Linked DNA regions of Rattus norvegicus. The protein of the gene in region 1 interacts with the protein of each later gene in a biochemical or structural test. Links are inferred from orthologs where the notes say so. Each region holds a gene or a part of one and is shown in the gene's direction. Other genes may lie near its edges.

Evidence for each region.
Region 2: the proteins of Bcl10 (region 1) and Ikbkb form a complex in vitro, tested with the Homo sapiens proteins (2 studies listed by BioGRID, with this or other methods). The link is inferred for Rattus norvegicus from reciprocal best matches to the Homo sapiens genes BCL10 and IKBKB.
Region 3: the proteins of Bcl10 (region 1) and Card11 form a complex in vitro, tested with the Homo sapiens proteins (2 studies listed by BioGRID, with this or other methods). The link is inferred for Rattus norvegicus from reciprocal best matches to the Homo sapiens genes BCL10 and CARD11.
Region 4: the proteins of Bcl10 (region 1) and Card9 form a complex in vitro, tested with the Homo sapiens proteins (2 studies listed by BioGRID). The link is inferred for Rattus norvegicus from reciprocal best matches to the Homo sapiens genes BCL10 and CARD9.
Region 5: the proteins of Bcl10 (region 1) and Ikbkg form a complex in vitro, tested with the Homo sapiens proteins (3 studies listed by BioGRID). The link is inferred for Rattus norvegicus from reciprocal best matches to the Homo sapiens genes BCL10 and IKBKG.
Region 6: the proteins of Bcl10 (region 1) and Chuk form a complex in vitro, tested with the Homo sapiens proteins (2 studies listed by BioGRID, with this or other methods). The link is inferred for Rattus norvegicus from reciprocal best matches to the Homo sapiens genes BCL10 and CHUK.

What each region holds. Positions count from the first base shown.
Region 1 is NC_086020.1:237,500,003-237,503,980, forward strand, and holds the start of Bcl10 (B-cell lymphoma/leukemia 10), read left to right. Parts: upstream 1-1,178; 5' UTR 1,179-1,303; coding exon 1,304-1,360; intron 1,361-3,978. UniProt on the Homo sapiens protein: Plays a key role in both adaptive and innate immune signaling by bridging CARD domain-containing proteins to immune activation.
Region 2 is NC_086034.1:76,067,031-76,070,530, forward strand, and holds part of Ikbkb (inhibitor of nuclear factor kappa-B kinase subunit beta), read left to right. Parts: intron 1-597; coding exon 598-647; intron 648-744; coding exon 745-844; intron 845-1,020; coding exon 1,021-1,168; intron 1,169-3,500.
Region 3 is NC_086030.1:18,860,588-18,864,087, forward strand, and holds part of Card11 (caspase recruitment domain-containing protein 11), read left to right. Parts: intron 1-302; coding exon 303-399; intron 400-1,245; coding exon 1,246-1,341; intron 1,342-2,889; coding exon 2,890-3,025; intron 3,026-3,500. UniProt on the Homo sapiens protein: Adapter protein that plays a key role in adaptive immune response by transducing the activation of NF-kappa-B downstream of T-cell receptor (TCR) and B-cell receptor (BCR) engagement.
Region 4 is NC_086021.1:29,575,603-29,579,815, reverse strand, and holds the start of Card9 (caspase recruitment domain-containing protein 9), read left to right. Parts: upstream 1-1,413; 5' UTR 1,414-1,631; intron 1,632-2,715; 5' UTR 2,716-2,727; coding exon 2,728-2,911; intron 2,912-3,295; coding exon 3,296-3,433; intron 3,434-4,213. UniProt on the Homo sapiens protein: Adapter protein that plays a key role in innate immune response against fungi by forming signaling complexes downstream of C-type lectin receptors.
Region 5 is NC_086039.1:157,371,695-157,375,684, forward strand, and holds the start of Ikbkg (NF-kappa-B essential modulator), read left to right. Parts: upstream 1-1,190; 5' UTR 1,191-1,308; intron 1,309-3,629; exon of another isoform or gene 3,630-3,691; intron 3,692-3,837; 5' UTR 3,838-3,877; intron 3,878-3,990. UniProt on the Homo sapiens protein: Regulatory subunit of the IKK core complex which phosphorylates inhibitors of NF-kappa-B thus leading to the dissociation of the inhibitor/NF-kappa-B complex and ultimately the degradation of the inhibitor.
Region 6 is NC_086019.1:252,934,274-252,937,773, reverse strand, and holds part of Chuk (inhibitor of nuclear factor kappa-B kinase subunit alpha), read left to right. Parts: intron 1-1,240; coding exon 1,241-1,310; intron 1,311-2,915; coding exon 2,916-3,004; intron 3,005-3,500.

The sequences.
Region 1 (3,978 bases):
TGACTAAGGGCACAGAAAAACTCTAGTAAACTAGACATCAGTGTGAAAAAACACCTGGTATAATGTGAATACCAGGATTCCAGGGCTCTGAGCAGAGCTATGGAGATGTGGCTCTATGCCTCTTGTGGTTCTTTGATTTTAGATAGATTCCTGTTACCTTTGGTCGTCTTGTCATTTCAATCTGTGCTTGTAGATTTACCGCATTGGTCACATAATCGTTTTCTGCCCAGGACTCTATGTGGAGCTCCTTATCCACTATGTGCCGCACAAGCTACGAGTTAAAATACCATTCTGAAAATAGCCATTTGGCCTCCAAAAAGATAACTTCCCCATCACGACATACCTAGCACTTACAGTGATAAAGGCTAACAGTAAACGAGAGTGCAACTGTGCACCGAGTAGCTTCAGAGCCTTAAATATGCTCCTAGAGACCCTAGAAGCTTTTTAAATGTATCTTTATTGCATAGATTAATACGGAGAAATGTTCCTAACGAATAGAGACTTAAAAGTACCTGAACACTACCTCTGCTGCTAAATTGATGGGATTGCAGTTAATTATTAAATCTTAAACACCTTTTTCGTTTTTTTATTGTGTTTTGTTATTTTGTTTTCTGCACTCAATATCTTCTTGTTTCTGTCTCCCAAGTTCTAGGTGGCAAATGGCAGTAGGCCCCGGACCAGGCTTTCAAACATTTCAATACTGGTTATATTATGTTATATATTATACATTTGTGTATGATCAAGCAATTGTAAAACCTGGCCCAGCACAACAGGAAATTGTTCCGCAACAGAGGGAGAAGCAAACCAAAATGCCCTGGCCTACTCAGCCCACACTCTACCCAAAAGAGGAGTCTGCGAGGGCGGGGAGATCCCGCTACACTGAGCGGCCAACGCCCCGCCCACGGAAACGAATCCTTCTCTTGGGGCCAATCCGCAATCCTAGTAAATAACAAGCGGGCGTAGTTAGAGGCAAGGCTGCTGTGGGCGGAGCCACTTCGGAAGAAGGGACGAAACCTAGGGCTAGTAATGATTGGCTGGCACGGAAGTGGGCGGGGCCTGCAGGTAGACCCGCCTCGCCGAAGGGTGGTGCCTAAGTTAGGATGGACTCTGAGTGCGGCGCCGCAGGCCCCGGAGGCGGAGCCGGAAGTGGGGCGTTGAGGTCTCCTCCTCCGCGTTCCGTGAACCGGCGGTTCCCCCGCTTCTGTTCCTAGTCCTCCCAAGTCACAGCCCGATTCCCGGAGGCCCGAGCCCTTAGCCAGGGCGGGGTGGCGCGGGCCGAAAGGACGCCATCCCGGCCTCGGCCATGGAGGCTCCCGCGCCGTCTCTCACGGAGGAGGACTTAACTGAAGTGAAGAAGGACGTGAGTAGCTCCGCCGGGCTGGACGCAGCGGGGCGGGCGGGGGCGGAGGAAAGCGGAAACCCAGAGCCGAGCGACGGGGAACCTCAGGTCGGAAGAGCGCCAGGTCCCGGCACAGCACGACCCGCCTGCTTCCCCGGAGCTGGCTTCAAATGATCCACCAGAGACCTGGGAGTCCACGGTTAAACCTGTCAACGCCGGCTTGGGTTTATCTTTGCTATCGGCTTCTCGCTGGTGGCTTTCCATCCTGTTGATCCCCGACTCCATCCCATCCCCGAGGGAGCTGCTAGGCTAGGGAGCGGTCCGAATCTGTCCACAGCGGGCTCTGGACCAGGTATGCCCCAGGCATAGAGCAGATAGGTGAAACTCTATACGGGGGGCTGCGGAAAGCTCGCCCTTTGAAAGGACGCCCTGGAATTCCCCTAGTAATCAGACGCCCACATATTTAAATGAAGGGGATGTGCTTACTTCTCGCTGAGACTTGACTCTCTCAGGTAAACGTTGAAAATAGTCATAGCTAAATTGGACTCTCCTGCTTAGACCACGTAGAACTTCGCATACACATTAATATTTGAGAATATGGCTTTAAACACAACGTGCTTCGTTTTTCATTCCCTTTAATTACTTATTTTGCCAGGAAAAAAAATCAAATGAGTACCATTTACATGATATATATGGATTCACTTTAAAAACAGTAATTTGTTCGTACCTAGCACCGCAGTGCTGGTGAAAAGTCGTCTTTTCGAACTTGACTGCAAGTTGTTGCAGATGTCCGCGTGCTTCTGATCTCTTTTTCTACTATACCTTACCCCTTGTAAAGGTTTATTGCACTGTACCCAACCCATAATTACAGCTGGACTAGCTCAGTACCAGAAGGAAAAGGTCCAACTGGCATTACTGCCATCGTTTCCGTGTTCAGGGGAATTGGTAGGGCACTTACTGTATGGGAAACTTTACATTTCTACTTGAGACTAGGTCTTTGATAACCACTCCGGCCTTAAGATGCCAGTAAAACCGTAACCTTAAAATATGGTAGCTGCGGTCTCCGTTGTCGGACACAGTTTTGAATTTTCTCACAATCATTAAGGGAGAGAATTGCTTTTCATTTTGTAGCTGGCAAAACAAGCCAAGACCTGAGTATAGATAGAAGAGTGCTGCAGACCTTTGTTTCTGCCCATCGACGTCTATCCATTCTGACAGTTTCAGGTCAGACCTGTATCAGCTGTCCATAACCTTAGAGAAACTTTAGATACACCTTAGGATGTCTATAAAAACAGTTTTCTTAGGTAGTTACCCAGTTATTTTTTAAACTGCTTATAACAAGCTTAAAAATTTATCCGCAGTTCTTGAACTTCCTTTTTTCTCAACTCCAGGCCTTTATTTCTACCAGAACCAAGCTATAACATCATACATTTGGTTGTTGTTTTTCTGTGTAACTCTGGCTGTCCTGGAACTCATTCTGTAGACGAAGCTGGCCTCAACTTGGAGATCTTCCTTCCTCTGCCTCCCAAGTGTTGGGATTAAAGGCATAGCCACCACTGCTTGCCATGTTCTTTTATTTTCAGAACTGGAACTTTTCGTTATCCTTCCCCCAAAACTGCTTGGTGTTCCTTCTGTGTTATCTGCTTGGATAAATGGTGGGAAGTTGTTTCCATGGGGCTCTGTCTGACTCAGGGTTTGCTTTCTTTGGCTTCTGTTGCCTGTGGGTCAGCCATAGTCCAAAAATACTTAATGGGAATTTGCTACATTTATAGTGTTACAGATTGAGCACCATGATAAAATCCTGGCCAGGGGCATGAGTTGCACCTTTTCCCCAGTACTGTGTGTCACCTGCCTGTTAGTCTCTTCATAGCTAGCTGTGTGGGTTATTACATTGGTTTTGATGGAGGAGAGCTTGGGATGGGGTTGGTACTGTGAAGTTTTGCACATCCATTGAGAATCTTGGTCCATGTCCTCCCATGCTAGCTGGGAGCGAGTCTTCAGTGCTCCTCCCCTTCTTCATGTTTATTTAACATGCCCCTATTTTGGTTGAATTTGTTCCATTTTAACAAATAGAGATAACTTTATATTCTGAGTTGATAATGTAACAGTTAAACTAAGAACTAAGGGACTAGAGAGATGGCTTAGCAGTTAAGAGCACTGACTGCTCTTCCAGAGGTTCTGAGTTCGATGCTCACAACCATCTGTAATGGGATCCAATGCCCTCTTCTGGTGTGTCTGAAGACAGCCACAGTGTGCTCACATAAATAAATAAATCTCTAAAAAAAAAAAAAGCTCAATTTCTTGAATGAAGGAAAATAGCCATAAAATAATAACTTTAAAATAGTATATTAAAATTTTCATTCATCTAAAGCACTGTACTTTGAAATGCAGAGTATACAGCAGTAAACAGAACGTCCGTGCTGTTTACCTGCTTCAAACATACAGGTGGTGAAAGCTGAAAAGGATGTCTGTCATTTACACAAGCACATTTGTAAGTTCACTCGGAGCTACGAAGACAAGCACCAGGGCAGTCATTGTACATGCAATTCGATCCTCAGGTGTGCTTGATTGATTCTTAAAGGTTCTAATAGAGAACCTGGGAGAAGAGCATTTGATACAGAGAATTTGACAAGGACCTA
Region 2 (3,500 bases), on another chromosome or scaffold:
CAAAGAATTATCTGTTCTCCATCGTATCTTACATATTAACCCTCTCTCTTCCAGTTTCCAAATGAGAATCTTCACCTTGTGCGCATGTGGATGTGGATGTCCGTGTGTGCAGGTGTTGTTTCAAAACAGGGTCTCACTATTTAGCATTGAGAGACCTGGTACACAGTCAAGACTTGCCCCGATTCACAGAAATCCTACTACCTCAGCTTCCTGAGGGCTTGGGCTGTGTGTGCACAGCCAAGATCAGTTAGAGCCTCCTTCTGAGGCTGTTGCCAGCCCACCTGTGTTAGAGGAAGAGGCAGGCATTCACGTCTAGCTTTGGACTTAGGTTTTTGAGGGCAAGTATTTTCTTGGTCAGGTCCAGAAATGGCACCTCGAATGCCTCTCATAGCTAAGCAGAGGAGGAGTGTAATAATCTTTAAGCTTGTTCTTGTTTGGGGCATTTGGGTTTTATAACTATTCCCAAACTGGCAGTCTTTTCCCACTGAGAGCATGTGACCGGTCATCTGAAAAGTGGTGATTCTGCTGGCCGAGGTCAGCGGGCTGGTGCTGTAAACGTTCTTGCTGTGCCGTGACCATGGCCTTTTCTCTTTCCAGAGAGGAACAAGCAAGAGAACTCTACAGAAGACTCAGGGAGAAGCCAAGAGGTATGTGCTTCGGACCCCAGCCTCCATTTGTCTTGTCTGTGAGGCAGTGGTCTCCCCTGGAGGCCAGTAGGAGGAACGATACCATTCTCCTCTGCAGACCAAAGGACAGAAGGTGACAGCCAGGATATGGTACGGCTGCTGCTGCAAGCCATCCAGAGCTTCGAGAAGAAAGTGCGGGTGATTTACTCTCAGCTCAGGTGGGTGCTCCCTCTCCCCATCCAGGACCGGATGCAGAATCAACAAAGCCAAGGGGCAGGTGGATGCCCTTGCTCCTCGGCTGCGATCTGCCCGCACAATGAGGAACAGATCGTATTTAGAGCAGTGCTGTGCCGGCCCAGACCTCTCAGGCCTGTGGATCTTTCGTCCCTCACAGTAAGACCGTGGTTTGTAAGCAGAAGGCCCTGGAGCTGCTGCCCAAAGTAGAAGAGGTGGTGAGGCTCATGAACGAGGATGAGAAGACTGTGGTCCGGCTCCAGGAGAAGCGGCAGAAGGAGCTCTGGAACCTCCTGAAGATCGCCTGTGTGAGTGACTTATTCCGGCCTCTCAGGTCCCCTCCCTCAGCCGTGGCTGCTCTTTCAGCTCTGACCTGTGACATGGAGTGGTCAGGGAAGCTCCCTGAAGGGAGGCTTCAGCAATTACCTCAAAGAGCTGCAGACAGCAGCCATTGCTCTTTCAGAGCTTCAGATACCGGAAGTTAGGAATCCAGTTGTCAGCAAAATGGTGTCTCCTCTGATGGATCCAGGGCAAAGCCACCCCACCCCCACTACCCTCTCCAGCTTCAGTGGCTCAGGCCTCCTCATCCCGTCCGTGTCTGTCTTCTGTTGACATCAGTGTCTCATCCGAGTGTCTCTTATAAGACATTCTGGGGTAGAGATACATTTCAGCAGAAAGATGTTTGCCCCGTGCCTAAGGCCTTGGGTCCAGTCAGACCCTAGCAGCAGCACACACACAAACACACACACACACACACACACACACACACACACAGAGCTAAGCAGAAGGTTGCACACTTATTATCCCAGCACTTGCTGAGACAGGAGGATGATGAGTTTAGACCAGCCTAAGCAATGTCGAGACTCCTTTCAAGGTGTTAGTGGGCTGATAAGGAACTGGCATGGTGGCACATACCTGTGAGCCCAGCCCTTGGGGCTCTGGAGCAGAAAGTTCAGGGCTAGCTTGGACTACATAGTAAGGCCTACCTCAGATAACAAAATAAATCCAAAAAGAGCAAGAAAAGGAGATAGTTTATTACAGAAGCAGGAAACCAAAATGTTGCTTTGTGAAGATTCTAAGCCTGGAGCGTCTCCACAGGCCAAGCGGGAGGAGGCAGTGTCTTGCGAGGCTCACAGCAGCAAGCTCACACTTGTGCTCACTCTAGAGAACTCAGGGAAGTCAGAATCCAGAGCTTCACTGATGGATTTGCCTGGGGATGGGAGCTGGGGGATATGCCCTCCTGTAAGAAAGGGGAACCGAGGTAACACATGCTGGCTTGTTCTGCCACCTGCATTCACCGAGTGTCCAGTGTGAGAGCTGTGCTGTGTGGGGAGCTGGGTCTGGCATCCACCGTAACCCACCGAGGGCGCAGACGAGGACTTGAAAGAGAGCACCCTAGCCTGCTAAAGAAGCGTAAACTCGGGGCTGGGGATTTAGCTCAGTGGTAGAGCGCTTACCTAGGAAGCGCAAGGCCCTGGGTTCGGTCCCCAGCTCTGAAAAAAAGAACCAAAAAAAAAAAAAAAAAAGAAGAAGCGTAAACTCTGGTGTGCAGGGTGGCGGCCTGTGAATTCAGGGCAGGAACCCCAGCTTTCTCGGAAGTGAGGGAGTAACCAGAAAGGCTCCTGCGTGGGAGTCGGAGTGATGTGACCATGAGAATATTCCAGGAGAGCGCATGCTGTCTGCTGGTAAAGCTGGATTGGAGCAGTGCTTGTAGGGTTTCACTGGGGGCAAGACGGAATGGGGCTAGCACCGGCACCCCTTATTCTCATAGCACAAGAGGAAACACTGAAGGGTTCCCTCTTCCCAATCCCAGTGAAGGCACTTCAGGAGAAAACACTCGGGAGTGGCTGGAGACGGAATGCCACATTGTCAACCGTAGCACCAAGAGACAAAGGCGATGGGTGGAAGGAGTTGAGAACCCTGTGTGGAGCAGGCTAGCCCTTCCATATGAATTAAGCTTGCATGCCTGGTGTAGAGACAGAGGAAGCAGGCGTCCAGCTTTCTCCACAGGTGGTGCAGCAGACGGGTGAGGAACAGTACAAAAGCGCTTGCTTAAAAGGCTTGTTGAAGGTGGACCTTGGTGGTTAGCCAGGGTCGGGGAGGGGGAGGCAGAAAGGGACCCCAACCTGAGGGCTGAGATTAGGACCGTGCAGCTTCTGGCAACAGTGACGAGAGGATCAGGGACAGCGAAGAGTGTATGAGGCAACCCCACCAAGGAGAGGCCAGAGGCTCAACTGCAGAAGTGGCTAGAGGTGCTAAGGAACTGGCTGCAGGGCCTGGTCCCTGGCTGCACGCATGAGGAGGTGGCCAGCAGCCACAGCCTGGGTGGGCCTCTTGCTGGAGGAGGCTAGCTGTAGCAACCCTGGTCATCCAGACGCCTCAGTGTTCTTTCTGAGCTACACCACAGGTAGTGCAGTCGTTATTATCTCTGTGTACCTTGGCTTCCCACTTGGAAAAGTGAAAACACCTTCCTCTCCTTTAGGTTTGCTTTGTGTGTGTGTGTGTGTGTGTGTGTGTGTGTGTGTGTGTGTGTGTGTGTATTCAGGTGTGAGTGTGTGCACATGCGTGCATGTGTCCAGGTGTACCAGAGGCACTGGGTCCCCCAGGAGCTGGAGTTAAGCATTTGTGAGCCACCCACTG
Region 3 (3,500 bases), on another chromosome or scaffold:
CTGAACCCAGCAGGAGCAGGGCTACTGGGTGCCTGTTTTTCCACACAGCGACACCTGCTCTTCCGGGCTCTTGCTGCTGCTTAGATGGTCACAGACAGTGGGTCTCAGCCAGTCCTGTGGTCAGCGAAGAAGCCCAGGTGGAAGGGCATGACCCTGCAGCCAGTCTTCAAGAGACTGGATCCCATCCCCAAAGGGGGAGTCCTGTGTTTCTTGGGGGACCCTCAGGCCCAGTTTCTCCAGTTTGCAGGCCACACGCCTTGTTCAGTCCTAGTCCTAAGGCTGCTTCCATATCCCCTCCACAGAGCTCAACAGCTTCTCCTGGTGAAGCTCCAGCGACTGGTTCACAGAGGCACTCGGGAAGAGGCAGACAGCGCTCACCACACCCTGCGTAGCCTCCGGGTAGGTACCACACACACACAGACACACACACACACACACACACACACATGACACACAACACACACACAGACACACAAACACACACATAGACACATACACAGACACACACATAGATACACACACAGACACACAGACACACATAGACACACACACAGACACACAGACACACATAGACACACACACAGACACAGACACACACACCACACACACACACAGACATACACGGACACATATACACACAGAGACACACATACACACACCACACACACAGACACACACACACCACACACACACACACACACACACACGACACACACAGAGACACACAGAGACACACACACATACACACACACACAGACACACACACAGACACACAGACACACACGGACACATATACACACACATACACCACACACATACACACACACAGACACACACACACCCACAGACACACACACACACACACACACACACACACACAGTGGAGTGGTGGGGACAGGGGTCCTGAAGCTTCCCTCTTCCTCCATACATGTAAGAAGCCGTGTCACCATGTCTTCAGGAAGATGCATTGCAAGGGACTTGGTTCCTTGGGATGGGGAGCTCCTGTGAGCCCTCCCTACCTGTGACTTAGGAGACTCACAAAGGTGTCTCAGCCCTTCCTGCTCTGGTCTCAGATACAAGCAGTTGCTCTCTCCCAGCCTCTGCTGCTGCCAGACTGCAAGGCTTCGATGTTGCCCCTCACATCCGAGCCAGAGGGGACTTGGGGCCGGGTGTACACCTCTCTACTGCAGTCTCACACTCAGGAGCCCTTCGCTCAGCCTGAGCTGATCGACAAACTCATTCCAGAACACCCTGCAGCCGGAAGAGCCGCTTTCGGCCAGCGACCCCCGGGTCAGTCCCCGCCTCTCCAGAGCAAGTTTCTTCTTCGGTCAGCTCCTGCAGGTAAGGTTGGTGATTGCATGCCCGCTGGCTTTCCTAGCACAGCTTGCTGGGGCTCCACCCTCTGCCTACCAAGAAGAGGTGCCAATGGGACATAACAAGGCATTGTATTCCGGGCGCCCCTTGTGACTTCTCACAGCGCCTGGCTTCTCCTGTCCCATTTTATCCTCGCAGTGACAGGTCTGTAGACAGACTCCACGCCTGCTGGAAGCCAGTCTCACTTTCATAAAAGATTCGAAGAAACTTTAGGCCAAAAGAGCTTCCAACAACTCTGCTGCTAAAATATGATAGAAAAATCAGATGTGCTGTGTTGGAGAGAGAAAAACAAACCCTTCGGATATGTAGGCCAGTGTATTCTCTCTGGGGGAGCATGACAGTTACCTGAGCATCCTGGCAGCCAAGGAGATAAGGGAACCCAGTAGGTTTCTCGGACCTTACCTGTCTGTGGAAGCAGCTCATCTTTTCAGAACCGGGATGGATTTTTTTTTCTCCTTGTACTTAACTTCTAAAGAAATAGCAAATATTTGGGGGTGGGGGAAAGTAATACAAGAACCATTGACGAGCTTGTTGTGCGATTTCTTATAGGTACAGATTCAGTGACTATAGCCAGATCTTGTATCGATAGTTGAGAGAAGCAAAGACCGTGAGCCCAGACACACACATTTCCTGTGTGGCTGCTGCATTAATTACACTCCAATGCAGTAAGAAATAACTAACACCTTGACCCCAGATCCCAGATAGACACAATTCTGTGACAGAGACAGCCTGGTGGGAGGAGACCTGCAGGGTATTAAGGCCTCTGGAAGGCAGAGCCATCCATCTATCATGACACTGTCAGGCCCATGTGTCAAGCTTGAGTCATCAGGGTCTCAGCCAAAGATTCAAGGCTAAGCTAGGGGCATGGCTCGGTTGTTTAAATGCTTACCTACCATACTCAAAGCCCTGGGTTACTTTCCAAGTACCACATAAACTTGACACCGTGGGGCAGGCTTGTAATCCCAGCTCTCAGGAGGTAGAGGCAGCGGGATCCAAAGTTCAGAATCCTCCTGGGATACATAGTAAGGTTGTGGCTAGCCTGGGCTACATGAAACCCTGTCTCCAAAATATATAAGAATAAAAGCACGAATCTGACACACACTAGGACCAGGCAGGCTCTTCTGAAGCAGGGAGACACTCAACGGTGCCCTGTGGGAACCTGGACTCTGTATATATGAACTGTGTGAGAAGCCATGATCCCAGAACCCAGAGGGTCATGGGAACAATGCGGGGGACTCAGAGGTTTCCAGCATGTATGGACCCCAGGGGCTGCCAGCCAGGGTCCTCACCAGCTAGAACAGTAGCTGCACATGGTGTCTTCATGGGACGGTAACTAGAGTGTTCCAGAGTCTCGTGCAGGGGCTGGCTTTTTACAGCAGAGGCAATCTGCCCTGAGCACCCCACAGAATAGAGTCAAGGTTTGGGCAAAGGTTTTGTCTGCCTGGTACAAGTCAATCTTGGCACAAACCAAGAGATTATGCCCCACCCACCTGCCACACCTCCTTCTCTCCACAGTTTGTCAGTCGGTCAGAAAACAAGTACAAAAGAATGAACAGCAATGAGCGCGTGAGAATCATCTCTGGGAGTCCCCTGGGGAGCCTCTCCCGGTCCTCGCTGGATGCCACCAAACTCCTGACCGAGAAGCATGAAGGTGTGTGAGGACCTCCTGGCCTCTCCCTACAGCCCAGCAGGGGCATGTCTGGTACACACCTCACCCTCCATGGAGCCACATCTGTCCCCAGGACAAGCTTAGCAGGATGAACAGACAAGGGAGGGGGCTGAAGATGTGTGCTTACCCCAGCATTGTTCTAGTTTGAACTTACAGCCCCAGCTAGGGGAGGCGGAGACAGGAGGATGCCTGGAGTTCACTATCTAGCCATTCTGGACATTGTTAAGTCTCTAATTTCATGAGAGGCCCTGTCTGAAGAAACAAGCCATAGAGTGAGTGAGAAAGACACCCAGTGAGACACCCAATATCTGCTTCTGACTTGTGTACACGCATGCACACATAGACATGCACACAAACGTGTGTGCACACACACTTGCATAGACACGTACACAGGCACACACACGTACACATGTGTGAACACATGCACACACACACACAGTTGGAGGGGGAAAGTCAG
Region 4 (4,213 bases), on another chromosome or scaffold:
GGAACTATGTCAATTGGCCCCCCACCGCCAGGCAAGGTCCCTGGAACCAGCACCCATCCCAGACAGCAGCACCTCTCCCTCCTGACTGTCTCTCCCTTTTAAAAAAAAAATTAGGGGTTGGGGATTTAGCTCAGTGGTAGAGCGCTTGCCTAGGAAGCGCAAGGCCCTGGCTTCGGTCCCCAGCTCCGGGAAAAAAAAAAAAAACAAAAAAAAAAAATTATTTGTTTTATGTGTATGAGTACACTGTTGCTCTCTTCAGACACACCAGAAGAGGGAATCGGGTCCCTTTACAGACAGTTGTGAGCCACCAGGTAGTTGCTGGGAATTGAACTCGGGGCCTCTGGAAGAGCAGTCAGCACTCTTAACCACTGAGCCATCTCTCCGGCCCTGTCTCCTTTTTTCTTAGACACTATTATCGTGACACCAGTCCTAAGCCCTTGGCTCTCCAGGAGTTAGTTCTTGCATGTGTTCATCCATCCTCTGTGGGAAATTTCATAGTAAAATGGCGTGAGCAGCCTAATCCTGCTGCTTGTACCGACTGTCAGCAGGTGGTTGTCCTGCAGCCCAGCTCATTGCCCTCTGTTATGTGTCCAGGGACCAGTGTTTTCCATGGCTCCCTCTAACCTCTTCTCCACTCTGGAGTACTGGGGTTTTTTCAGCTATCCGATTGATTTCTACCTCAGATTTATGGGCAAGAGCTTCCCATTTTATTAACACTTTTAAGAAAACACCATGATCTGTATTTTTACTGTTTGGGGAACAAACTCCACTATGGAGGCCTTGTGATCTCCTTCCTGGAGTAACTGCAAAGCCGTGGACCCCTCTTTGCCATCCTGGAAACCCAGCAAGGCACAGTCCCTAGCAATGCCACTCCCAACCCCACCCAGGCCAAAGAGGACTCCTGACTGCTGCTTTTAGAAGTATGGTCCAAGGTCACTGTCCCCACAGGAGCAACAGAAGGGCAGTAAGCCACGAAAGACGGGGCTGGTTGGGCTCTGCTCTTTGTAGGTCTCCCAGCCTTCCCACTCAGCTTTTGCTTCAACTCCTCTCGAAGACTAGGCAGCAGCACCTGTCTAACAGCTACACTGGCTGGTCAGGGCTAGCAGGTCCCCACGCCCATCTCAGGCTGGGGCACGCAGTTCACGGAGGACTCTAGCTGCCTACAGCCCGTGGATTGTCCTGCTGCACCTACCCTGCACCACCGTCCTCAGACGGCAGGTGAGGATATGGGCGGCCATGAGGGAAGAGCGGCTTTCAGAAGCCTGGATCCAGGAGGGCCTTAGACCGCCCATCCACAACGCCAGATTTTCAGATTCTGTGGCTCCAGGTCCGAGTTCAGATGAGCAGGCGGGGAGGGCTCCTCTGCTCCCAGAGTACTTCTACTTCCCTCTCTCCTGTTCCTGGATGGACCAATCAGAAGGTAGACCAGCAGGGACTGCCCCCCCCCCCCTCCCAGGGAGGACTGGCTGGCTTGTGGCAGCAACCAGAACACATCAGGAAGTGCACAGCCTCCCTCATGGCTCCACCCTTCTCCAGTTAGGGAGCATCTCCACACTCCCAGAGGCTCGCTCCTGGAGTGCCCATAGCCCAGGCAGCATCCAGCTGGCAGGTGGCTCCCACAGGACCCTGAGGTAAGTTCACCTTCCTGGAGGTGGGTGGAAGCCTGTGGTGAGTCTGCTGGGGACCCTGGAGCAGCAGTACCTACAGGCAGGTGGCCTCCTCCACCCTCACCCTTCATTTGATTAACCCTGGCCATGGCAGTATAGTCCTCCAGTGCTGGGCCATGTGGCTGTGGGGCTGGAATGGCAGGCAGTGGGCCCAAGGTTTAGAGAAATGTCTGTCCACTGAAGCCACTCACAAAGGCTTCACTTGTCCACATGCAGCTCCACACGAGTAAGCCCCTATGTTCAACTGGCCTGACTGATCCCCATCATGTGGCCAGAGGCCAGGCCTCATCCGGCAGCAGAAAAGCACAGGACTTGCCTAGCACCTGAAAAACTGGAGGGAAGCCGCAGCAGACGTCCAGTGTACCCCAGCCTAGCAGGGAGGCAGGCATGCTCCCACGGCCAACCCTTACTTGCCCTCCCAGAATAGCACCATGCCACAGGCTGTTGCATCACTGGCTACAACGGAAGGCCTGAAGGACTCGGAGCCTGTCAGGGAATGAGGAAGTCACACATAGGCCTGGCCCCCTGGCAGAGTGAGAAAGCCTCCCACCAACCTGACCCTCTTAGTCCCAATCTGGAGACTGGCCAGCCAGGGTCCACGCCACCCAGGGAGGTACTATGTAGGATGGCCAGTAGGGGCAAAAGCTCCCACCTTGAGGGTGTGCCAGGGCACTCCAGGGTAGAGGGCAGAAGCTAGAGCAGGCCTGTTGTACAAGGGCTATTCTCTTAGACCCCCAACCCATCCCTTCCCTGCATATCCACATGACTCAACGAAAGCTTGGGGTGACAGCAGCTTGGGGAAGGTGGGTTTAACAGGTGGCCTGAGGAGGGGCTTGCCTATGGACCTCTGCTTCCCCTCAGAAACTCTCCATGGAGCTGAGGAGATGAAACTGAGCCGTATATTTCCCTAGACTGAGTCCCTTCTGACCCTGCCCAAAGCCCTGCCCTGGCACTCCCAGGCCTGGGTCCTGTCAGGCTGACTGCGCCAGGCCCAGCAGGGAACAGAAGGTGGGCACTTCCTCAGCTGCTCTCCCCAACTGTACCACAGCCTACAGAGGACATGTCAGACTATGAAAATGACGACGAGTGCTGGAGTGCCCTGGAGAGCTTCCGGGTGAAGCTAATCTCTGTCATTGACCCCTCACGAATCACACCCTATCTGCGCCAGTGCAAAGTCCTGAACCCCGATGATGAGGAGCAGGTGCTCAGTGACCCCAACCTGGTCATCCGCAAGCGGAAAGTGGGTGAGGGCTGCTCCCATACCAGCAGGGCCCAGTCCCTCATCATCCCCACAAGACAGCCAGCCAGAGTCTGCTACCTCAGCCCCACCCAGCTCCATCTCCATGTAGGATATGAGTGAGGTCCTCCTCCCCTCTTGTCATGTCTACCTGCTGCTGCCCAGTGGGGGAAGGGAGTCCCCACCATTGTTCAGATCCTCAGAGCCACCAGAGTAAAGACAGCACCCTGTCCCACCTAGACTGAGACCTGCAGGGTGCCTTATGCAATGGCCCAGAAGGGAAGGGGGTGTCTAGAGCTTAGGTTATCTACCCAGAGTAACCATCCTAGCCAGCCCCAAGGGCCTCTACCTACCCAGCCCTGGGCCCTGACTCTGTCTCTTCTGCCTGAAGGTGTGCTCCTGGACATCCTGCAGCGGACAGGCCACAAGGGCTACGTGGCCTTTCTTGAGAGTCTGGAACTCTACTACCCTCAGTTATACAGGAAAGTCACTGGCAAGGAGCCAGCGCGTGTCTTCTCCATGATCATCGGTGAGAGGCACAGGTGTGGGTTGGTGCTGTGGGTGGACTCGGTGCTACTTGGCCCCGGCTCCTGTGATTGCACTGGAGTGACTAAGTCTGACACGAGCCTTCTGATGTAGATCAGGGTAGTGGTCCCTGGTGCCTCTCCGGTTCTCGGGAGCAGGGCCTTCCTGGATTGCTGAGGCCCTGCTGGTCTCCAGAAGGGGAGCCCTTCTCTGCTTCTCCTACTCACAGCCTAGAAATTCCACTGAAGTGGTGACCGCTCTGCAGTGCCATTTCTGCAGGGCCCAGTTGTCAGCCAAGGGCAGAGTCGTACAGTTTCCAGAGGGGACAGAGGTGTCCTCTCGTGGTGGAATAGCCACAGCCCTATCAATTCTCATCCATCTCACAAAGGTCACTGTAAGAGTAACAGAGGGCAGGCATGATGACACACACCTTTAACCTTTAACTCCAGAGGCAGCGACAAGCAGATCTCAGAGTGAGAGGCCAGCCTGGACTACATACATACAACATAAACACGTAAAACAGGGGCTGGGGGGAGACAGAAGGCCGACTGCAGTCCTGGCATGTGAGTGTTTGAGTCAGAATCTCAGTTCGCCTGTGAGGGACAGCAAGGCAGACTGGGCCTAGTGAGCACACTCAGTCTTGAGGGACCCATCCTACCCTCTGGGAGGCCAGGAGTGCTCCCTCTGTCCCTCAAGCTGCTGGTCTTCAAGCACACACTTGTAGACAAGGACGAGCACAGGGTCTGCAGGTGACAGCCACAGCTCCACCTGACACTGCATGGTC
Region 5 (3,990 bases), on another chromosome or scaffold:
CTAAGGCATCCACTCTGGGCAGCTAGATATAATACAGTCAGGGCATCACACTCTATATGGGACCATCATACTCTGGTGTCTGCCAGAAACTCCACAATGAACTGAGCAGGTTTGATTGTGTAGATGATGGAGTTCAGCTCCGGCTCTCTTCTGGCCCAGTTAGGAGATTCCGGAACGTACCTCCTCTTGTAAAGGTCTAGTTCTCTTGGGCCCAGTGCAGAGAAAGTGCGGGATACAAAGAGATGGGTTAAGACCTTGTAGATTAGCGCGCATCAAAGGAACACGCGGCATACAAGCGGGCAGCATGTCCCTCCACCGATGTGACATCAGACCACCCCTTTACCTGAATTTAGTTGCCGCTGCCAAACACGTTCACAGATCTGGAGTGCACAGCCCGTTTCCGGGGGCTAAGCTTCGTTGGCCCATTTAACGCAAGAGGGCGTGTGCTTTGACTGAGCTGACCCGCCTCAGGAGAGGCAGCGGGGAGGAGCTTCGGGCTACTCTATCAGTGCGGGGGAGGAGGGGGGGGAGAAGAGTAGAGATAAATGCGCGCGCAATCCCGGCGAACTCCGCCCTTTGGCCGTCCCTGATGCCCCTGCCCCGCGATCGCGATGTCTTGCTTGCATTGGTGCAGCTCCACTCAGTTCTCCTGTATTCCCTTAGTCTCCCCAGCCATAATGTATGGTCTAGCTTTCCGCTGGGCCCCCAAGGCCCTGCACCTTCCCGGATGACCCCACTTCCGTTAGCAGCGTAGCCACGCCTTCCTGAGGCTAGTTTGGCTTCTGGGGCCCAAGTTTCGCAGCTTCCTCTAGACTTTTAACTTAGTAGGGGCCTGGCAGCAGAGAGCCAGGGGTGTTTTAGTGAGGATGCGATGCCTTGAAAATGGGGTGAGAGCGAGTGTGGACATGGTGACTCACTGCTTTAATCCCAGTAGACGGAAAAAAGGCAGGTGGATCTCTGAGTTCGAGGCTAGTCTGGTCTACGTAGGACCCTGTCCAAAAAAAAAATTGTGTGTATAAGAGTTGTGATGTTTATCAGTAAGGAGCATTCTGCTGTTCCGCTGGCCAACGCAGGCTGGCGGTCTAAGACTTTGGAGCAGAGTGTGGCACTTCGGAGTTTTAACTCTCTAGTATTAATGCCTTTGAGTCTGTGTTTTACTTCCGGATCCCACACTTACGACACCGGAAGCCGGAAGTGGGGTTTTCCACTGCTGAGAAGGGAAGGGTGACCGCCTGACTAGGATTTCCTAGGAGCTCCGATTCTGCCGCTGCTCCTGCCCTCTTCACTTCTGACCGACTCTGCTGACAGGTGTGGTCCTCTTCCCCAAAAACAGGGCTTCATCGGTGACCGTTCCGCAGCTTCTGAGACTCCTGAGGTCCACACCCTTCCCCCATCTTAGGCCCAGTTCTGCCGCAAGCTTCTAGAGCATTGGTTCAGGCAGGTTTATTCGCTACCCAGGTTACTTGGGTGGCTAGTTGGCTTGAATTTGCCCTTCCCTTCACCGCAGCTGTCTCCTAAGGGCTTGGCCCCTAGTGGTAGAACTCTTTAGTTAGGAGACATTTTCTGTTGATCTAACTGTTTCTGAAACACTTTTTGCACTGTAGGCCAGGTAGTCCTCGAACTCAAGTTTCTGCCTCAGCCTTTCGAGTACTGGAGCAACAGGTGTGCCAGGGTGTTTATCAAACTTGAGTGCATTTGAAGTCTTTAGAAAGTTTTCAAGGGTACATTCACAACTAAATATCTTCTGCACCTCAGTTCACTTTGCAAATGATTCATAGTAATCTGTTTGCAGGTCCTCATACCATTTATCTGACCTGAGAACGAATGTGTTGTCTTGGCATTTCCTAGGAAAAAGGAAGGACTAGTAGCCGGAGCAGAGAGAGCGAGGGAGGAATAGTTGGTGGAGAGGAAGTAAGGTAGGAGTGTAGGTGGTATAGGACCTTGTAGGCTGTTGTATGGACTTTGTTTTTTGCATTGGGAGAAGTGGAAACTCTGATGGAGTTCGAGAGAAGTAGCTTGACTTATCTTTGAGGTAATTGGTCCCAGTGGGGTCAATTGCAAAGGGCCAGTGAAAAGCAAAGCATGATGGTCTGTAAAGAGATTATTGCAGTAATGCAGGTGAAAGATAGTAGTGCTGTCAGCCTTTACTTATTGAACCATTTAAAAAGTACAAAAGTAGAAATAATATAGTAAGTTCTATGGATACATTTCTTAGCTGTGACTATTAGCTCATAGTTAACTTTAATTCACACCCCTTATAATCCTCTACCACAATTATTTTCTTTTCTACAGAAGATGTTATTTTATGTGTGTAGATGCTTTGCTATGCTTTCCTAGTGCCCAAGGAAGTCAGAAGAAGGTGTCATATCTCCTTGGATTGGAGTTACAGATGTTTGTGAACCACCATATGGGTGCTAGAAAGTGTCCTCTGCAACAATAGCAAGTGCTCTTAATCCCTGAGCCATCATCTCTCTTGCTCCACCCATTATGATTTTCAGTAACAGCTTTCTTGAGACATAATTGGCATGCTACACAAAATATTTACTATTTGTGTGTGCTTTCGCCTCCACATGCATGCATGGTGTATGATTTGTATAGAGAGCACAGGTGCCATGGCTAGACTATGTAGAGGTCAGAGAACAACATTGAGTCAGCAACCTGTTTTTCACTTTTATATGTTCTAGTGTCTCCAGGCTTGCATAGCAAGAGCCTTTATCCACTGAGCTGTCTCACTTGCCCATACTTCAATATATTTGAAACAGTCTCCTGTAGATCCCTTCCCCTTGAGTTCCTAATCCCCTGGAGCTGGAATTACAGAAGGTTTGAGTTGTCCAACATGGGTGCTGTGAACTGAACATGGGTTCTCTGGAAGAGCAGTCAGTGCTCCTAATAGCTGAGCCATCTCTCCCAACTTCTTTTAAGACTTCTAAACATCCAAGTAGTTTGATATGTAACTGGAATTCGGGAATGTGAACTGTTTGAGATATTATCAACATTAAGATTTGGGTTAAAAACCATGAGACTGGACGGAATTACTGCAGGGTGAATGCTGTTAGAAAAGAGGTCCCAAAGTACCTCAACGTGAAGAAATGGGGACTCAGTAAAAGGGCCTGAGCAGAATCAGCCTTTGAGGGAGTGGGAATCACCAGGTGAGGAGGTTTTCTGGAGCCTGAAGGAAGAAAGTAGGTGAAAAAGAGGGAAGGGTCAGCTGTGTGAGCTCAGGCAGATGGACCCATGGGTAGCAACACTTTTATTGTAAATAGCCAAGATTCCCCAGTGTTATAGGCATCCTCTCTTATTGGAAGCCTACTTCTGGACGCTTGCATTGAGATCATTCTCTTCCTGGTTGTCAGAATGAGGCAGGATTTAGAAGGTCTCCAGGTTAGTACTGTCCTGCATAATTCCTGTCTGCTTTAAAAGCCAGCATAAGCAGATCAGACTGAAACCCCAATTCACACTTTTCAAACTTCTTAGCACACAAGAGGTCTCCTCTATCCCCAGTGAATACTTCTCAGGTACAATGTAGTCTTCTGAAGTCTCTCTTACCAAGTATTTGTATTTCCCTGACTCCTGTAAGAAATGACCACAGGCCCAGTGGCTTAAAAGAACAGAAAATTGATACCTCACAGGTCTGGAAGCCAGGAGAATAAAACCAGAAGGTGGACAAGGTCATGCTCCATCTGCAAGTTGTGTAAGAGTATCCTTTATGTGTCTTTTAGTTGCTGGTGGCTCAGTTGTTCCTTGGCCTGTGGTTATATTAATTTAGTCTCAGCTTCTGTCTCTCATGTCCATTTTCCTGTGTTTCCACCTGTTTCCTCTTCACTTTTATGTATATAGGAGGAGCTTGGAATTGAACCAACAGTCTTGTGCATGCTAGGTAAGTGCTCTACCACTGAACTACATTCCCAATCCTGTTTTCATCTGTCTTTTAGAAGGGTTCTTGTTACTGGGGTCATGGCCCACCTATGTACCTCACAATGATATCACTTT
Region 6 (3,500 bases), on another chromosome or scaffold:
TTGGAACACAGCTCTGTGCATGTTATGGCTGCTTATGAACAGTTCTAGATTTGAGTAGTGGAACAGAAATTATGACTTCCATAGCTTGAAGTACTTAATATTTGACTCCATACAGAAAATATTTGTTAATCTTTGTCTTAATGCTTTCTATTGCTGTGATAAAGACCACAGCAATAGAAACAACAGAAGCAACCTGGGAAAATTAAAGTTTCTGTATGTACCAATCCCAGCCCATCGTTGAGGAAAAGTAAGGCAGGAACTAAAGTGGCAACCATGAAGGAGCACTGCTTATTGGCTTGTTCCTCATGACTCCTTCAGCCTTCTTGCTGTTATAATCTAGGACTGCAGCCTGTCTAGGGGTGGCATTTCCCACAGTGGGCTGGGCCATGCAACATCAACTGCTAATCAAGAAAGTGACCCACAGACTTGTCTACTAGCCAGCCTGATCGGCATTGCCTCAAGTGAGCTTTCCTCCAGCTCGCGCCAAGTTGGCAAGAAAACAAAACAAAAGAACAAACAAACAAACAAAAAACCAAAACCACTAATTGCTATATACATTCTAGGTTTTTTTAATTTAATTTTATTTTTGTTTCTTTGTTTGTTGTTGTTGTTGTTGTTGTTCTTGTTCTTGTTCTTGTTGTTTTTGACACAGCATTTCACTATGGACCCCTGGTTGTCCTAAAACTCACTTTTTAGACCAGGCTGGTCTTGAGATCTGTCTGCCTCTGCCTGAGTGCTGGGATTAAAGGCATGTGCCACCATGCTTGGCCTAGAACATGCTGGTCATATTAAATAAAAATATCAACATTTGTGGGGCTTATTAAAAACTTGTCTTTTTATTATAATCACTCTTTGTATTTAATTTTAAATGTATCTCTTTATCAGCATTTTTCAATTTCAAGTGCTATTGCCCTCGTCTTTACTCCATATGAGCCTTCTCATCAAATTTATTCAACCTCAGTATGGATTTCATGATTTTTTTTTTACCCTTCTATCTCTTGTCATTGTTACAAGTAGCAAAACAGACTTTCAATGTAGCCCATGCTGGCCTTGAACTCAGGGTCCTGCCTCATCTTCCCATGTGCTGGCCTTATAGACATGCACCACTATGCCCCAATCCTTATAATTTCTGTAGCGTGACTTTTTTACTTGAGTGTCCTCTGACGGTATAGTGGTTGATGATTTCGCTGTTGCCACTCAGCAGTAATAGATGTCTTTTCTTTTCTTCTCTTCTCTTTAGCTACTCAACAAACCAGAAAATTGTTGTGGACTTAAAGAGAGCCAGATCCTTTCTTTACTGAGTGACATAGGTATGTAACTAATATTAAAGTATCATGCGATTTAATGCCCCTTTGGTCCACAGAAACTTCTGTGTACTGCTTGGAAGGGAAGGAGAACTACATATATATACTTATAGATTTTAATATCTCTGAAAAATTAGAATTATCCATTTCTTATGATGCTAATGAAAACTAGTACATTTGGCATTTGTTTTTATATGAGGGGGTTTTGTTTGTTGTTTGGTTTTGGCTATGTATTATTGTCTAATAGATGGTCCAGTGATGAGAAAAGTGGTATGAACCAACATTCATCTCATTCCCCCTCATACCTCCCCCCACACTGACATAATAGTTTGTTTATAGAGGAATTACATGTTTCAGGGATAGTTCCTCAAGTTATCTTGGAAGGAAATTCTCCTTCTAGTCAGAATTACTACTGAAAAAAATCCCTAAAATAACCATAAACTAGACCTTTAAAGAAACCTCAAAAAGCAAGAATTCATTTCCCTCTATGTTTTAGTGTTGCTTCTTTTCCTGGGTCAAGGACAGTAATATCTAGTTTAAGAATGTGATTTAGGGGGTTGGGGATTTAGCTCAGTGGTTCAGCCCTGGGTTCGGTCCCCAGCTCCGAAAAAAAGAAAAGGAAAAAAAAAGAATGTGATTTAGGTGGGAGGAAAAGACCATAAGAATTACAGGAAAAATTAATCGTTCCATTTGCTTTTAATGTTGATTCCAATAAATTAAAAGAGTATATAATATAATTTTTCCAGTGTTTATTTCATGTCATTGAACTTCTGGTGAAGAAAATCTGAACTACCCTAATGGCGGTGCAGCTGTGATAGATCGTGTAAATGTGGGGAGGTGTGGTGTGTGGTACATGGGGGCGATTGTTGGTGCACACTCACAGCATGCATCTGGAGGCAACAGCAGGATGGCAGATGTTCTCATTTCCTTAACTTGATTGTTTTGAGACAGAGTCTCTGACTAAACTAGAAGCTCCATGCTCCGACTAGGCTGGCTGACCAGCCAGTTCCTGAGATTTGCCTTTTCCTCTTTTTAACCCTGCTGGGGTTATTGTTACACAAAGTCATACTTGACTTTGTGTGTGTGTGTGTGTGTGTGTGTGTGTGTGTGTGTGTGTGTGTGTGTGTGTTGGGGGGAGGGACAAGGGTTAAACTCAGGTCCTTGGGCTTTCACGGCATTCACTTTTATCCACTGAGCCATCTCCATAATGGCTCTGGACATAATTTTTGCACCAGTGTAGATCTATAGAAATATGAGCTAAAAACTGACTGTAGCTAGACATGGTGGCACACAGCTTTTATTCTAACACTGGGAGGCAGAGATAGAAGGATCTCCATGAGATCAAGACCAGCAGGCCAGCCAGGGCTATATAGTGAGACCCTGTCTAAGGAAAGAGCTGAGGGTGCTGGAACATGCCTGCAGTCACAGCACTGGGAGGGAGAACAAGAGGATTAGGAATTAGAAGTGAAGTAATCCTTGGCTGCATAGGGGTTCCAGGCCAGACAGGGCACATGAAACTGTCTCAAAACTCTAACAATAAAAACAAAGTGTGATATGATTTTTTAAACAGTATTTTCTGTTATTTCACAATACACTTGAAATTTTGTTTAGGATCTGGGATTCGTTATTTGCATGAAAACAAAATTATACATCGAGATCTAAAACCTGAAAATATAGTGCTTCAAGATGTTGGTGGGAAGGTAGGTGAAGCCTGAAGAATGTTCATGCTTTTCGTTATAGTCTCCCTGGTACATTAAGACTTTAGAGACTTTAGTTTTCTCATTAATTATATACACATAGTACTTTATAATTCTTCTATTGTGGTCTTCACTGAATTAAACTGTAGGGTTTTTAATTCTAGACTTATTATTGTTATTGTTTTAGATACATTATTGTTGTGCTTGTTGTTATTATTTTCTGTATATGTGTACCACATATGGTGCTTGTGGAGGACACAAGAAGAAGGCACCAGAGTTCGTGGGTCTAGAATTACAGATGGCTGTGGCCATTGTGTAAGTGATTGGAATTGAGCTCAAGTTCTTTGCAAGAGCAACCAGTGCTTGTAACTGCCTGGCCAATTGTCCATCCCCTGAATGGTGGTTTTGTGGTTAGATTTTTTTTTTTTCCTTCTCTATGGAACAGTGGCTCCTTAGAGAAGCATCTGTCTTGCTCATCTCTGGACTAGGAATATTGACC